Linked DNA regions of Struthio camelus. The protein of the gene in region 1 interacts with the protein of each later gene in a pairwise test. Links are inferred from orthologs where the notes say so. Each region holds a gene or a part of one and is shown in the gene's direction. Other genes may lie near its edges.

Region 1 (7,600 bases):
ATTTGTGTAGGTTTTACCTGAAGAGGTAAACTATTACTACTGCATTATTAGAGAAAGATGATTGGTTTATTTCTACTAAACCTCTGTGCTGCACATGAACTAGGCAAACAGTACAGAGCTTGAGAAGGCTCAGATTAAGATAAGCACAGGGTGGTCTTCTTCTGTAACGAGGTGTCTTCTGAGGAATTAAAAATACGCAAATATGGATTTGATAATATAATGTCATTGTGTTTTTGGCTGACCTTTTTAATTAAGATATCTTATTTAATTTTAGGGAATGTGTGTAGAGCGTTTTATCATAATTCATAAATATAATTATTAAATCGTAAATTCAATTGGAAGTTTTTACGGCTTTGCAAATGACTCATAAATGAATCATCCTGCTTCATCTCCATTGATTTTTACATCTTACATAACAGAATCCTAACTTCACTTTCAGGTTTTCCTATAACGTACATAAATAATAGCATGTGAAGCTCTTATTCTCCATTCTTTCAGATCTCGCCTCAAAATTTCTCTCTGCTACAATGCCTAAAATAATAGATTGTCAGTTAAGATGGATAGTTCTTTCTTTTAGTTCAATGTTTTTCTCCTTTTACTATGGTTTGCTTGTCAGGTGTCTTAAAATAACCATGTTTTATTATCACACCGGCAATAGTATTAGCTGTCATGTATGAGGTAGAGCTCAGCTAGTAAATGCGTGGGAGGCCTCCAAAAACACAACCCACCACCAAAACCCAAAAAGCTAAGTCCACCACAAGAAACACTGTTAGCTAACTGTTTTAAGATAGGAAAAGACTCTGGAGACTCAAAGTGTAAACAAGAAAAGCAATAAACAGTTTCCTTGTGTTTCTTGTGAAATTGGCTTACATTAATTGCACAGAAATCAGAACTGGAACAGCGCTGAAGATTTCCCACAGCCTAGTTCTCTGTAAGTCTTAGCTGTAACAGCAGTAGCATTTCCAACTACAGTAGCATTTCCAACTGCCTTCTGGAAAAAAAAAAAGAAAGAAAGAAAAGTTAAGTTCTTCCTTCCAATATGTTCAGGCTTTATTGCAGCTACTTTAGCAATAATTGTTAACATTCTAAGCAAATAAAATGTTTTATTCCAAAAAAAGGTAATAGGAGCCAGACGAAATAAGTCAGCCTGTTTAAAACAAAGCATTTCCTCTGGAATTTGTTGCTTGATATCTAGTCCTGTTTATTATTCTATATACTACCCTTTCTGAAAGAGGAACTGCTGTTCAGCAGACCTTTAACTAATAAAAGGGAAAATATTTCAGATCAATTTTGATAGCATCATGTAGAACGGTGAACATAAAAACAGTCAAGATAATTAACACAGTGAGGGTAAAGTATGTGGGAGCGAAGGAGAACAACAATCTGATCTAAGCAAAATTGCTGAGAACACATACAAAACTGATACAGCATGGAGTTTCCCAGTCCATGCATTATAACATCATAATGAAATTATCTCTCATAAAATACTTCAAATTATACCACTGAGTATTTTCAAAACTTGTGGGCACAGGATATAAATTGGTCCAATTTACCTAACGGTATGAATTCTGAAAGGCTACTTAAACCATTCTTTGAAAGTGAATTAAGCTAAATCAGATCAATGTCACTCCAATTCTGATTGAGCGTGCCCACAAAATAAATCAATGTAGTCCAGCTAATCCTCTTGAAAGGCTGATTTGGATTCCTAAATGTCCCTGGGACAAAACCCGGTGATTTTAGCTAAGGAATATAAGCACCACCAGGATTCTCTCGGTAGGCAATGACCTTGGGAACCTACTCCATAGGGTTAAGTCCTAAAGTGAGGCTTATACCTCTGATGCTCTACTAAGGGGCTGTTGACAAAGACAACTACTGTTTTTCACTGTCATTCTTTCGGCTAGGTCCAAAAGAACATTAAGTCCCTGTGTGAGAGTTGCGTCTCTTGGGGAACCTTTTAAACCCATGGATGTTTTTCAGTGACCCAGAAGAGCCTTGTCAATATAAAAAAACTTTTATTAAAATGCAGTAGTCTAGGGCCCTAAGATTAATACGGGAAAACAAAGATTATAACCATGGCCAGACTGGCAGAATCTCTCCCTTTGCAGATCACAAGCTTGAGAGAACAGGTGAGTCTTCCAGTTCATCTGCTCTTTCACCTAATCCTGGCTCTGGCAAGCCCAGAAAGAAATGACAGTAAACAGGGAAAGTCAATGACTGGCTCCAGAAATGACATCTTGTTTTCATATAGTTGTCTTTGAATCATTAACAGTCAGGCGCCACTACTGCTGAAATTTATCATTTCTACAACCACAAACGGGCTTAGAGTCCAAAAGGATTCCCTCAGCTGGTTTAAGAAAACAAAAAAGTCTAATCCATAGAGAACAAAAAGTAACAAGAGAAAAATCCCAGAAAGAATGAGAAATAGAAATATTAGAGTGTACTATTTAAAATTGGACTCCTCTAAATGAGTGCTGCAGATGCTGATCAAGGAGAAGTGTTTTACAGAGACTGCACAACAAAATGAACAGTGTACAACCTGTGGAAGGCTACTAGTAGCTCTGCTTACCAGCCTTTTAGGAGAGGAAAAGCTTTTACATTTGGCTTTTCAACAGCAGCAAAACTGCCTGCCTGATGGTAAAGAACTGTGTTTACTGCTTGTGCAAACAGAGATCTTGATGTTAGTTTTAACAGCCCCAGAATTGTGCTCTGAAATCTAACGATCGCAGAGGGTCTATCAAATTCAGTGTCTCCTCTCCAACAGCAGCTAGTACCAGATACTTCATCCTAAAGTGCCAGAAACCCTAAAGTGAACAGTTATGGAATAAACTTCATGTAAGGAAAAATGTTTTCCAAATCCCCATCAGTCAGATAATTGGCTTCTCTGTGAAGTATGATAGCTCATATTCCTCCAGACTCTGTGCTCTTTTTTTTCCCCATATGCTTCAACTTGTAATAACACAATCCTGTATTTTTTTTAACTCTTTATGAAAGTCTCTACTTCCTTTCTAAAGTCTGCTGAATTCCTGGCCTCAAAAATATCTTCAGTCAATTCCTTCCACACTCTAATTGTATGTGGTATCAAAAATTTGCCTTCCTTTTAAATGTATAGCCTTTAAACACAAAGAATTTTCTGCATTACAAGACTGAACAAATATGCTGTTCTAAACTAGCTTTACTATAGGACATATCACTTATATAACATTATAATTTTCTATGTTATACCTATCTTCTTTAAAGCAATTTTATCTTTTTTCTGATCATGCCTCACATTGGAGTGTCTCATTGTCTAATTGTTTCCCAAATTATTATCGCTACCCATCTTTAGAATATTTCTACTTAAGCCATATCCTTTGAAAGACAGCACAACCCAAAGACAGCAGAGTAGTCCAAGCAAGACTTTTAAGGATAAAAACAGGGCGGTTATAACAACTTGCTTGCTCATTTTAACTGTGACTGTCCTTTGAGTAGAAGTTAAAGTTGGGTTGCCAACAGTGACAGTCTGCTCTTTCCACTACTGCAACAATGGCAGGTTATATCCATGCATAAGCAGTTTATTTCATTTCTGTTCTTTGGCTTTTGTCAGTAAAAACATAGACAACCTTTCCTCAGTCCTTCCTTTTTTTGGAAGGCATCCTGGCCTGAGCTTTTTCTAATGGTGATGCAGGAAACTGCATTCCTTTGGGAACTTGGGCCTCTTCAGCTTCTAAAGGCGGCGAGCCCAGCAGGGCTGCTTCCAGCCTCAAGAAGAGCTCTGCCTTCTCCGATCCCCAGGAACCCAGGCCATTCCCACTGAGCAGAAAGAGCCTGTAGTTCAGCACTCCCCTCCTCTTTTCTACTTTCCTGTGACCAACAAGCAATTCCTGGTGCTCCCCATAGCCCCACAGCTCTCTGGAGCACTAGGGCTGGGAAACAGCGGCCCGGCTGCAGAGCAACCACACAGACAGAAGGACTGGACTGGGGGCCCTGGTCAGTCCCTGCTCTCTGGGGTAAGGTTGCTACACAAAGTCCTTCATCAACTTATCATTCACCTTCAAATACGGCTCTTTCCCTCACAGTTGCTGTTCCAAAGTTTCCAGCACCTCTCTGGTGTTAGGCGCCTTCTGATTTTCAACTTAAATTTAACCTGAAAGGGTATTTACATGTTTTTCCTCGTGCCACTGTGGCTCTTCAGCTTCACCAACTCTGTTTCCCCTGCGTGTCCCTTGTCCCTGTATCGCCATGTCCCCTCACGGCCCCTGCCCTGCGGCCAGGCCGCCGTGTCGCCTCACGGCCCCTGCCCCTGGCCAGGCCGCCATGTCGGCACGCTTCTCGGGACAACTTCCCCACGAGGTCACGCGTGACTTCCCAGACTTGCTCGCAGCCCCTGACCTGTGCTGACCTCCGGGCTGCAGAAGGCTGCCGAGGCCCTAGGCTCAGTCCGGGGGTTGGGGGGGCCAGGGGAAAGGCCGGGCCGGGCCGGGCTCGTCACCCCGCCTGAGCGGCTGGCGGCCCGGAACCTTCGTGGCGCGGGCGCGTGTTCCCAGCCGGGGCGAGCGGTCGAGCAACACCCGGCCCTGCGCGCGGCGAGAGCGTCGGGCGCCTTGGAAACGGACGGAAGCCGGGAGGGCGGCGGCGGGAGGATGCTGAGCGCCGAGCGGCTGTCGCTGCCGGGGCCCGAGTACCTGGGTGAGGAGCGGGCCGCGGCCGGGCAGCTCGGAGGGGCTGGGGGTGGCTCCGTGTCCGCCGGGAGGGCTGCGGGGCGGCGAGCTGCGGGGCCGGGAAGGCGGAGCCGGCCTCGGGGCGTGCGCTGGGGTCTCCCCCGCGCTCTGTTAGCCCTGCGTGAGCAGTGGTCAGCGGTGTCCTGCTGCTGTGGGGCAGGAAGGCAGGCTGTAACCTCGTTTAGCCCATTAGGTTTCATCTTCTGCCGTGCTCGCAGATCCAACCTTATTTTTACGCTCCTTTCTCTACATCGGAGTAGATGGCAGCTGGTCTTACGTTGTGAGATGGTTTGAATGGCAGCTTTTCTCCTGAAATAAAGTAGTATTGGTAATGCTTCCTACAGATCTCCTTGTGTTGCCTAACGTGGAGTTTTGTTTTTTTTTTTTTTTTAACTTCTGAAGCAACGGCTGCCTAATGGACTGTTTCTTTTTAGACGGGCTCTCACACAGTTTGTGTTACTGCTAGGTGCTCTAGTGAAATAAGGAAAAGTGTTCTGGTGTTGGTGTGTTAACTGAAAACAGTTATGATGCAATAAAGTCAATATTATTTAATTTGATTGCTAAAGAGAAGACGGATTGTAAGTAATAAGCATTTTGAACATGTTCAAGTCAGCATTTTTAAAGTGAAACTCTTCAGCCATTACCTTCTAGGAACAGCAGGCTGCGTGGAAATAGATTTTATAAATGTATACATAATCCACTGTGGCTTTTTCATTCAAAGAATTGGTAGGGATTTGTTTGTGCTGCTTGTTCCAACATCATTTTGCCATCTCCGGTAAGTCAAAACGGAACAAGTGTAGAGAAATATTGCTAGCTTCCAGGAAATGGAAAACCTGTCTTGCAAGGGGGAGGCTAAAGACCTTGATTTGTTTAGCCTAGCAAAACTATGAATGAGTAGGGATGCAACTGCTCTTTTGAAGTGCGTTATGGTAATACATAGTGATGGTGGAAGAAGACATATTTAAGCAAAAGAGTTAGATAATTCCTCTTGGAGTGTAATCTCTCTGTACTTTTCCTTCTAGACTGCTTTTATGATACTTTGTGCATGCCCGCATAGCTTCAATGCTATTCTGTGTTAAGGAAACTCCAGGTAGAAAGAAGAGTTTGTTTGGTGCTCTGTCCAGGGTGATTATCTCAGGAGACTCACTTTGCTGAAGTTCTTTTTACTGATTTCAATTCTAGGCATGAAGCTAGTTCAGATATTTGAGAAGAACATCACAGTGTGCTACGAAGATAGCTTTGTGCTACTCTATCACACCATGTCAGCATTTTCAACCTACGCTTTAATGGAGAGACTCATAACTATTCCACAGAGTTGCTCTAGGCAGCAACTTGCAAAATTTCTCTTTTTAATGAGCCAACTTGGTTTTACTTTCTTTTAATTGTTTTTAATGAAATAAGTCACTTAACTTTACTTGTGTGAAACTTGTCAGTAAGGATTGAATCACTCAACACAATCTAGGAAGCATAGACCAAAAATTCTTAAAGTAGAAGAATGAATAACCAGTTTTCTGTTTTACCTAAATCTGAATTTGAGAAATGGGATTTCTAAGAGATGTGCAAAGTTGCTAGGTACAGGCAGCTGTAGTACCTTAAAGTGAGTATCCTTTTATCTCTGTTCTACATACTGCTCTACCGTTCCCTTTTCATTTTCTAAAACCTTCTAAATTATTCTGGCATTGGGATCAGAAAAAGGTGTATGTGCATGTCAGGTTGAGCAGGAACTTGTGTAAGAGCATGTTCTGTTGATCACTTAGTATGCCCTTCTGTTTAAGTTGCAGTATCCATTGTTAAGTTGCAGTATCCACAGCCTCACCTGGAGTACTGTGTCCAGTTCTGGGCTCCCCAGTACAAGAGAGACATGGCACTCCTGGAGAGAGTCCAGCGGAGGGCTACAAAGAGGGTGAGGGGACTGGAGCATCTCTCCTACGAAGAAAGGCTGCGAGAGCTCGGCCTGTTCAGTCTGGAGAAGAGAAGACTGAGAGGTGATCTGATAAATGTGTACAAGTATCTGAAGGGGGAGTGTCAAGAGGATGAGGCCAGCCTCTTCTCCATGGTGCCCAGCAACAGGACAAGAGGCAATGGGCAGAAACTGAACCACAGGAAGTTCCATCTGAACCTGAGGAAAAACTTCTTCACTGTGAGGGTGAGAGAGCATTGGAACAGGTTGCCCAGAGAGGTGGTGGAGTCTCCTTCCCTGGAGATATTCAAAAGCCATCTGGATGTGATCCTGGGCAATATGCTCTAGGTGACCCTGCTTGAGCAGGGAGGTTGGACTAGATGATCTCCAGAGGTCCCTTCCAACCTAAACCATTCTGTGATTCTGTTTAGCAGAGGAAAAACGTCCACTACATGATGTTTTCCTTAGCTGTAAACGTTAGCAAAAATATATATATTTTTTGTCTTTATGAGGCTTGGTAACTTTCCAAACTGCTCACAGAATCTGTTGTCTGAACTTTGTCTTACAAGCAGAAAAAAGGTTTAAAAAAAAGCTGTTTTCATAAAATCTTTTAATGTTTTCTCCATTGACTTGGCTTTCTGAAATCACCATTCTTTCGATGAGGTGAGATGCCCTCTCCATTTGTCCTATGGTGTGGCTCAATGTCAATGACCATTTGTCAACAATCACCATTATCTGATGTGGAATTGTAAGCAATTGGGATAAACAAGTTTCACTTTCTGCAATTTCACTCTGAAGTTGTGTTGCCCCAGGCTGCTGCATAATGTAGTCTTTGAGCGTCTCCAAAATGAAATGGCACTCCCTTTCTTCATGTGGGATAGGCAAACTTCACTTAATCTCTTTTTCCCCCCTTTCCTTTCTGAAAACCAAAAATGGACTGACTAATAAAATGAGTGGCCAAAATAACTTTATGTGCCACTTCCTGAGTTACTTTTTTTTTATT
Region 2 (7,716 bases), on another chromosome or scaffold:
GTGCTGGTATAGGCACGGCACTGTTTTCACGGCAGCCTGTTCAGGATGGGTGGAAAAATAGATCCTATTTTTTGTGTTACGACTTACTTTCACAGTTGGTGAGTGCTGCTGAAGGGCCCATTGCAGCTGGGAAGAGGCCATTCAGTATTTCTCACAGCTGAGCCTGAGGCACTTCAAAGCTGGGAATGTTATGCTGTTGGTGCCCCTTAGAAAAGGACGCCCATGTTCAGCCATTGGCTTTCTCCGGTGTGTGTAAGTGCTAGCTGGGAAACAGGTTAGCAGCTGCAGCCTGATTTCTGAAGTCCGAGTCCTGAAGTTCAGTGCAGCTCTCTGTACTGGACTGCAGCAAAGGAAAGAGCTTGCCCTTGAGAAGGTTTGTGAAATCTGGGGTCAGGGTTACAGCCTGGCTTGCAAGCAGTGGCTGAGTACTGTGCAAGTGCAGGGCTCTCTGCTCTGTTACTCTCCCCTCTGCTTTTTGTGCTCTTCATCTAAGTAATGCTGAGATGCATTCTCTTATCCTGCTAGTACGTATTGGAAGTCTGCAGCGGCATAATGAGAGAAAACCTGTTCTGGCTGTGCGACTAAGGCATTTGTAAATGGTCTTGCTGAATGTTGTTGGCACTTAACACTCTTTAGTTTTTCCATTTGGATCTAAATTGATTCAGTAAACTGGATGCAGTTTGGTGTAAGCAGGTCTGATTGACTTGGAAACTTCACCCTATTACACCATGTTCAAATGATATGCTCAGGCAGCCAGCCTCATTCAACGGGCTTTAATGTATGAATATAAATTGAATGCATGATTTGAAGTGTGTGGGGGGAAGCTCTTAACATCTGTGAAAGATGGAAAAACACAGTATATTGCGTGGAGCCTGATTTCAGTGCTCCAGTACACAAAGCTCGGGGAGCTGCTGGTATCCTCCAGAACTCTGGGGATGCCTGCAGTATTCAGCACGGTAGCCCCTTACATCCTGACCCTGAAATAACAGCCAAGCTCTCGTCGTACTTAGCTGCGCAGGCTCGGAGTGCTTCAGTTCTGGTCCTGTTCTGGACACACTGCCTGTCCTGTTTATTTGCAGCTCCACAGTATAACCCTAAAGCTGCTGAATTTGTGGTTGCCTGTAGGCTGCTGCTTTTCCTCTCTGTTTTTTTTTTTTTCTTTGTCTAAGTGTGTTCCTCATAGCAGAACATGACCATTCTTGATTGGCTTAATTTCCTCATTTGGGTTAACTTCTGTATTTCTCACACAGGCCTTATTGAAACCAATGCTCGTTGTCTTTTTGCTTTCTATCCCAGCAACACTGGGCTTCTGTGCTCAAATGGAAAAAAGTGCAATGTGCTGTTGGGGCTGCTGATCATCTGAAATAAGGCCTGGTTGGAAGATATGTGTGTTGCTCTGGCAATGCAAGAACTAGCCGAGTTCTACAAAGCCCTGTGTAAGTGTAGCCATTTTTACTTTTTAGGTAAGAGGATTTTGTTAGAAACTGTTTTCACCCCCACCCCATCCCCCGAAAAACCGGAAGAGCTGAGGTGAACACACCCTTCTACGATCCAAATCGAGAACAAATTTAGACTGAAATCAGGTGTTGTCCACACCCAGAGATCTGGCTCCAGAGTTGATCCCTACTCTGGAGACAAGCCTGTTAGAAAGGAAGCTCAGGATTAATGGAAACCAGTTCTGAAAAACCACAGAAACAGATGCATCTGAACCAACCTGCAGTTAGTCTTTTGCCTGCTCAAGAGCAGATTGCTGAGGGACCACTGTTTAGCAAGTTGTGAAACATGAAAGGATTCTTTTAGTATGTATATATAAAGTATTCCTATTTTTAATACCTTCCCTGTTTGTAGAATTTGGGAAGCAGAGATCTGATTCTTACCCTGTCAGAATACTGACTCTTGGACCTTAAGAAGAGCAGGTGATGCATTTTCAGATGGGTTTCCCCCTTCTACCTTACTAATGTAGCCTAAGGCTTTCTTTCCCTTTTTCTACCTTTGCAATGTGTGCTTTCGTGACATTAGTTCTGAACTTTATACTCTTCACCCTCCTGACTTGACTTCTCACAAATCTAATTTGGCCAAGGTATTGTCCAAAAAAACCTCAAACAAACCAGCACCACCCCCATCCCCCCCCCCCCCAAACCCTCCTGTACTGAAGTCTTAGCCTAGGGACTTCTGAAGTATTTGCTCCTGCTCACCTGATTTCTCTGCTTGATGTTGAGGAATAGATTTGATATTTCCTTCCATTAACACTTAAGCTTATATGTGAGAAAGGTCCTAGGTCTCTTCAGGTGTCACACAACTATCTAGTTCCCTAAGAAAGGATTTTTGCCAGAAGGAGAATCAACCACTTTTGGTCTCCTCTGTAAGACGTAGGGACCCAGAGGTGATTAAAAGCTGTCATGCTGCTGGGATGATGCTGTATGTACAATTTTATAAGGTCTAGCGTGGGTGTGTGAGAGGGGGGAAATAAGTCAGGGGAGAATCTAACTTAAATTTTCGGAATATTGAAGGATGAAAACTTTCCACCAGTTGCACTCAAATGCATGCCTACTTTACATCTGACTGCAAATGAAAAAATACTGGTTTACTCTTTTTATTAAAGGAAAAAGACTGTCTTAATTATTTATAGTTCCTATAACTGAATTGACAGATGTCAACTTAACTGATAAATTATATTTGGTTAAATAAAGATGACATTTATTTATGTGGATTGCGGTGTGTTTTCTCCATGCGGTCCTCGCATGTGAAGGTATCGGTCATACCACCTTATTGTCACATCTCCTGTCTGCTACTTTAGAAATATTTTAAAACACTTAACCTCCTGGGGAGCCTGATTCTTGTCTGGTTTTTGTGCGGGAAAGTTTCATCGGCCTTAGGGGAGAGAGACCACTGCAATGTGAGGATGTGGTTAATTTGCTAATGTTTCCCAAGATGTGATGCAGAGGACCCAGCAGCTGCTGAGAAAGGGCTGATCAGACCCTTGTGCCTGTAGAGACCCAACCTTTGCTAAAATGGATGAGCTTTCTATTTTTCTGGTCGTGATGCTAGAACGGGGCGAAATGACTGCCAGTGGCATGGGAGTGCCTGGGGAAGGCCGTGAGCCTGAAGCAGACGGTGCTGAAGGGCTCAGCGCGTCCTCGCCGCACCTCTCAGCAGAGACGGGAGCGACTCCCTGCTGCGGGGGCTCCAGCAGGCGCGTGTTTGCATGCAGGCGAAGGTCACTTTCCTACTTGTGTTGGCATTAATGGACTGTGGCAGTGGCTCATTCAAGTGGTGCCTCTGGCTTAATAATTGATTTGAAACATGTTATGTTGCCTGAATTAATAACAGATTGTCTTGTGTATTCACTGCATGAATCTGCAGTGCAGCCACTCTGTGGTTGAAGGTCTCTCTCTCTACTCTCAATTTTCTGATATGTAGTGGAATGAGTTATGAAAACAAAATAAAAATTTTGTGCATCAGGTAAAAACATGATTAGTGAAAATGATAAGATTATGGCCTGCCAGATTTTAGCCAGGCCAGCTTCTAGTTTGCCTTTGGGTAGACCCAGGTAGCTACACGAGTTCCCAGCAGAACAGGCAAAGGTTTGTTTTTCAGCCCCTTCCCTGGCTTTGCAGCTGCAATGCCTGCAGCGAGGGCCTGTTATCTGTCCTCCCTCTGCCTGTGGCTGTTTTAGGGGTGCAGCGCATAGCGGTCCTGCGTGTTTGCTGGGGGAGGCCGAGAAGCCTCCCGAACACGCAGCAGCCGGGTGCCTTGCCAGGGCTCTGCGTTTGCTGCTGTAGGATTTGCGTTATCCTGTGGCCTGTTTTCCTGTACGGCTGTGCCTCCTCGCTGCTCGCCTGAACGAGGAGCGCGGTGGGTAGTCCTGCGGCAAACCTACAGCAGTGCTGAAGAGTAGGCAACAACCAGCAAGGCCTTGCTGGCTATAAATCTCTGAACCTGTGTCCTGTTGCCTGAAGCTTCACGTCATTTCCCCCTGCACTAAATACCAGTGTACCATGGCGGGGGGCGGGGGGGGTTCATTCTATGACTTGGTGTTGATTGGGGGGGTAGATTGTTTTGGTTGGGCTAAAAAGCAGGAGGGGAAGGGGGAATGGGTTTTGCAAGGAGAACCATTTTGCCCTTAACTTGATCCTACCTTGATGGAATCCCAACAACTGTAGCTTTACTTAAAACAAGGCACCCCACATATATACATGCATATACACATTGTGGTTTGGCTTTACTTGCTTTCTAGCTTTTGAATCCCCAAACTACTTCAGATCTTTTTCTCTGCCATGGTAGAGCTTGCAATATAATTCTTGCAAGCGCAGTTGAGCAGTCCCACAGGTCCGAATGCCGGGGTGCTGAGTGAAGCGTGGCCGCGCGTGCCCGGCGTCCTGGCCTGTCTCTCCCGGTCCCGAGCTGGCTCTGGCTGAGCGGATCGAAACCTTCCCGTCAGCAAGGAGGGGGGCGGGTGCGTCACCTTTTACCCTGCAAGCTTTTCTTCCCGAACCGCTGCAGCGCAGCAGCGTATCCCGCCCCCGTCTCCAGCATTTCGATGTAGCCCCACCTCACCCTCATCGTCTCCTCTGCCCTTTTTGAAAGATTTCCTTGCGGAGGGACTTGCACCGCCCTCAGCACGGGCGGGGTGAGCGCCCGGCCCCGGCTCGGGGGCGGCGGCCGCGGACTACACGTCCCGGCAGCCCCGCGCCGGCGGCGGCTCCGCCGCTCCAGCCACCTGACCGTCACGTGAGCGGGCCGAGCCGAGCCGAGCCGAGCCGGGCCGAGCCGGGCCGGGCCGGGCGGCGGCATGGGGCACCGCGACCGCATGTTCAAGGTGCTGGTGGTGGGCGACGCCACGGTGGGGAAGACGTCGCTGGTGCAGCGCTACGCCAACGACAGCTTCAACCGGCACTACAAGTCCACGGTGGGAGGTGAGCGGGCGGCGCGCTGCCCCGCCGGGGCCGCAGCGGACCCCGCAGCGCGGCGGGCGGGCGGGCTCGGGGCCGGCAGCGCCGCTCTCCGCCGGCCGCCAGGGGCTGCCGGCTTCTCGCCGCCCCCGCCGGGAGGGCCGGCGCGGGCTGCGCCGTGCCAGCGGGCCCCGCTCGGCCGCCGCGGCGAAAAGCTGGTGCGCGGCTTCCCTCCTGCCGCGAAGTGCAGCGGGCTCCGCGTTCAGCGTAACGTGCCTTTAGAAGCCGGTTGTTCAGAGGCTGTGACGGGAAACTTGCGCCTCTCCTTCCCTGCGGACATAAAAACCTTGCAGTAGTTTGCGAACTGAACCATCATCAGCCTGTAATTACTGTATTTTGCAACTCCTGTAGTGGCTCTCAGGTGCGGCTCCGGCTGCGCTTGCAGCCCCTGTTTAAGGAGGCCCCTGCTGACAGATGAACGAGCAGCTGTGCTAATTCTTGCCGGAGGGATGTGGGTGCCCCGTCCCTCCCGCCTCGCGAACAAACGCCCTGCCGAGCCCTCACCTGGAGGGCCCGGACTGTAGCCTCGGATCTTTCCGGTGAAAATCAAAGCAGCATTGCTTTGAGGCTTACTTTAGTAGTGATTTCATGTTGCTGAATACGAGTCGTGCTGTAAAATGGTGCGTTTGGAAAGAAGATGGGGAAACAACAGCTTTAAGACAAGGGGGCTTGGAACAAGACTTAAGTGGAGTATGTTTTTCTTTCTTTGGCACCAGTGTAAGTGAATGATCTAAAAAGAGCAGGCGGTGCCAAGGCTTTACTCAGCAAATCTCTTTGAGGATCCACAGCACTGGAGGAAGAGCGTGGCTGTTTAAATCTCACTCACAAAATCAGAGGGAATAAATCAATCAGAAATTGAAAACACCGGAAGGCCATATCCTGTTGGAGCAGCAAGATACAAAGTGCTTGGAGTTGTGCCTGCACAGTCATTCGCAGCAGTAAGAGAGCTGCAATCTTTTTTTTTCACTCTTTTAAAACGTGTTCCTAGCTTCAGCAGGCCTGCTGAGCACAGATGACAGCTTAGCTGGACAATTTTCCTCCTGCAATGAAAACTTGATGTATCATAGTCTTCTGAAAAAAATGCGGTGTTTTCCTTTCCTACTCCCTGGGCATTTGTTGCAGTGGAGTTGTAGATGGTGGGAAGTGGTAAATGTGAAAGGAAACACTGTGCTCCATGTACCAGTGGCTAAACCGTTTAGGTAGTGCAGAACAAAGACAGGCGACAACAGCAAATCCAGCATTTCATTTAGCATTTTTTTTGAGTTTCCACTAGGATTATGAGTTTTAAAAGGAGGCATGGAGCATGATTAGCTCTGACCTTTTTACTTAAAACTCCTCCTTTGTGCGTTATTGACCTTAACTGAGAAGATCCAGTTCTTTGGCCTACTGTTTAAACTGTGGATTAAAAGTACAAAAGGCACGATCCAAACAGCACTTGACTGAAACAGAGTTGGGTGAGGGAAGGTTTCCTTACAGCTCTCCAAGCGATAAGGCTTCCAGTATCCTTTTGTTTGCATTGTGGTTATTCAGGCTTATGTGCTGGAGGAATTCTTATTTCCTGAACTTTTTTTTCCTTCTGGCCTTAGCTCTTGGTTAGTGTCACTACAGTGTCGGTGTTATAACCGCAGGGATCAAGAATGGGTATCTCCTGCAGACAGGAAGCTGTGGGTGGGATCTTTACAAACCTTGGTGGTGGGCAACGTCCAATTCCAAAAAAGCCCTGTGTTTTGGGGTAGTGCAGTGGCTGCCTGGTGCTGCGTTTGTTGGAAAATTCCACATTGCTCTGCTGCCATTTGTGAGGACTTTGACAGCAGATGGGCTAGGCTTTGCAAGGCAGGGAATACTGCTCCATTGTGTTATTTAGCACCACCCAAAGCGCTCCTAATCCAAAGTTCAGGAAGGGAAGAGCGAAGTGTAGCATCCTTGTGCGAGGATGGGATGCTGATAATGCCCTTGATTTCTTCTTTTCTGAAGGTATTTTGTGTGCCTGTGATAATTCTGTCTGAGCACCCGGGGTTCGTAGCAGACAATGCGTGGAGCCTTCTGGATTTAACACCTATTTTGCAGTGGTCTGTGATGGAGGAGAGGGAGACAGCGCTTGCAGACCCTCCTGGCCCCTGTCTGTGCTGTGTGTGGGTGGTGGTCCAGTACAAATTGCCATTGCTGTGAAAGCAGTGGCTGTGAAGCCTTATGACTGGTCCTCTGGAGAGATGTTGAGAGGTTGTAGGGGAACAAGTCCAATATTGTGAATGTCTCTAATTGGGTCTCCTTTCTTTTGGGGGATTTTCTAGTGGATTTTGCTCTGAAGGTGGTGCAGTGGTCAGAATCGGAGACAGTACGACTCCAGCTCTGGGACATTGCAGGTATGTTCAGATGAACCACGAATCGGTTCAGAAGCAGAATTTAAAGCTCTCTGAATTGCTTGGCCCTCCTTTCTTCTCCCTCCCCCCACAAAGGAGTCTGATATGAAAATAAATCCCCAAAATCTGTGAAATCAAGGAGCAAAATTGTTCTGCTTTGCAGTGTTCTTTCTAGTTTGCAGTGGTAATTTAAATATTTAATCAAAAGCCCATCTGCAAAGAACACAACAGCACAAATGATAAATTCCACGGAGCCTTTCTTTTCAATTTCAAAGCCAGAGCAGACTGAATGGGGAGACCAAGTGATTTGTAACTGGATATATAACTTCTCAGCTCTAAGTCCTCTGTTAAAATACTGATCTCTGGCATGACAGCCAGGAAGGCCCGATTCTTGTGTCTAAACT

Evidence for each region. The genes of interacting proteins can lie anywhere in the genome.
Region 2: the proteins of CSTPP1 (region 1) and RAB29 interact in a two-hybrid assay, tested with the Homo sapiens proteins (2 studies listed by BioGRID and IntAct). The two-hybrid records come from large-scale screens. The link is inferred for Struthio camelus from reciprocal best matches to the Homo sapiens genes CSTPP1 and RAB29.

The regions. Positions count from the first base shown.
Region 1 is NC_090946.1:39,557,999-39,565,598, reverse strand, and holds the start of CSTPP1 (centriolar satellite-associated tubulin polyglutamylase complex regulator 1), read left to right. Parts: upstream 1-4,531; 5' UTR 4,532-4,619; coding exon 4,620-4,665; intron 4,666-7,600. UniProt on the Homo sapiens protein: Regulator of the tubulin polyglutamylase complex (TPGC) that controls cytoskeletal organization, nuclear shape, and cilium disassembly by balancing microtubule and actin assembly.
Region 2 is NC_090965.1:7,514,346-7,522,061, reverse strand, and holds the start of RAB29 (ras-related protein Rab-7L1), read left to right. Parts: upstream 1-4,657; 5' UTR 4,658-4,792; coding exon 4,793-4,916; intron 4,917-7,243; coding exon 7,244-7,315; intron 7,316-7,716. UniProt on the Homo sapiens protein: The small GTPases Rab are key regulators in vesicle trafficking. Essential for maintaining the integrity of the endosome-trans-Golgi network structure.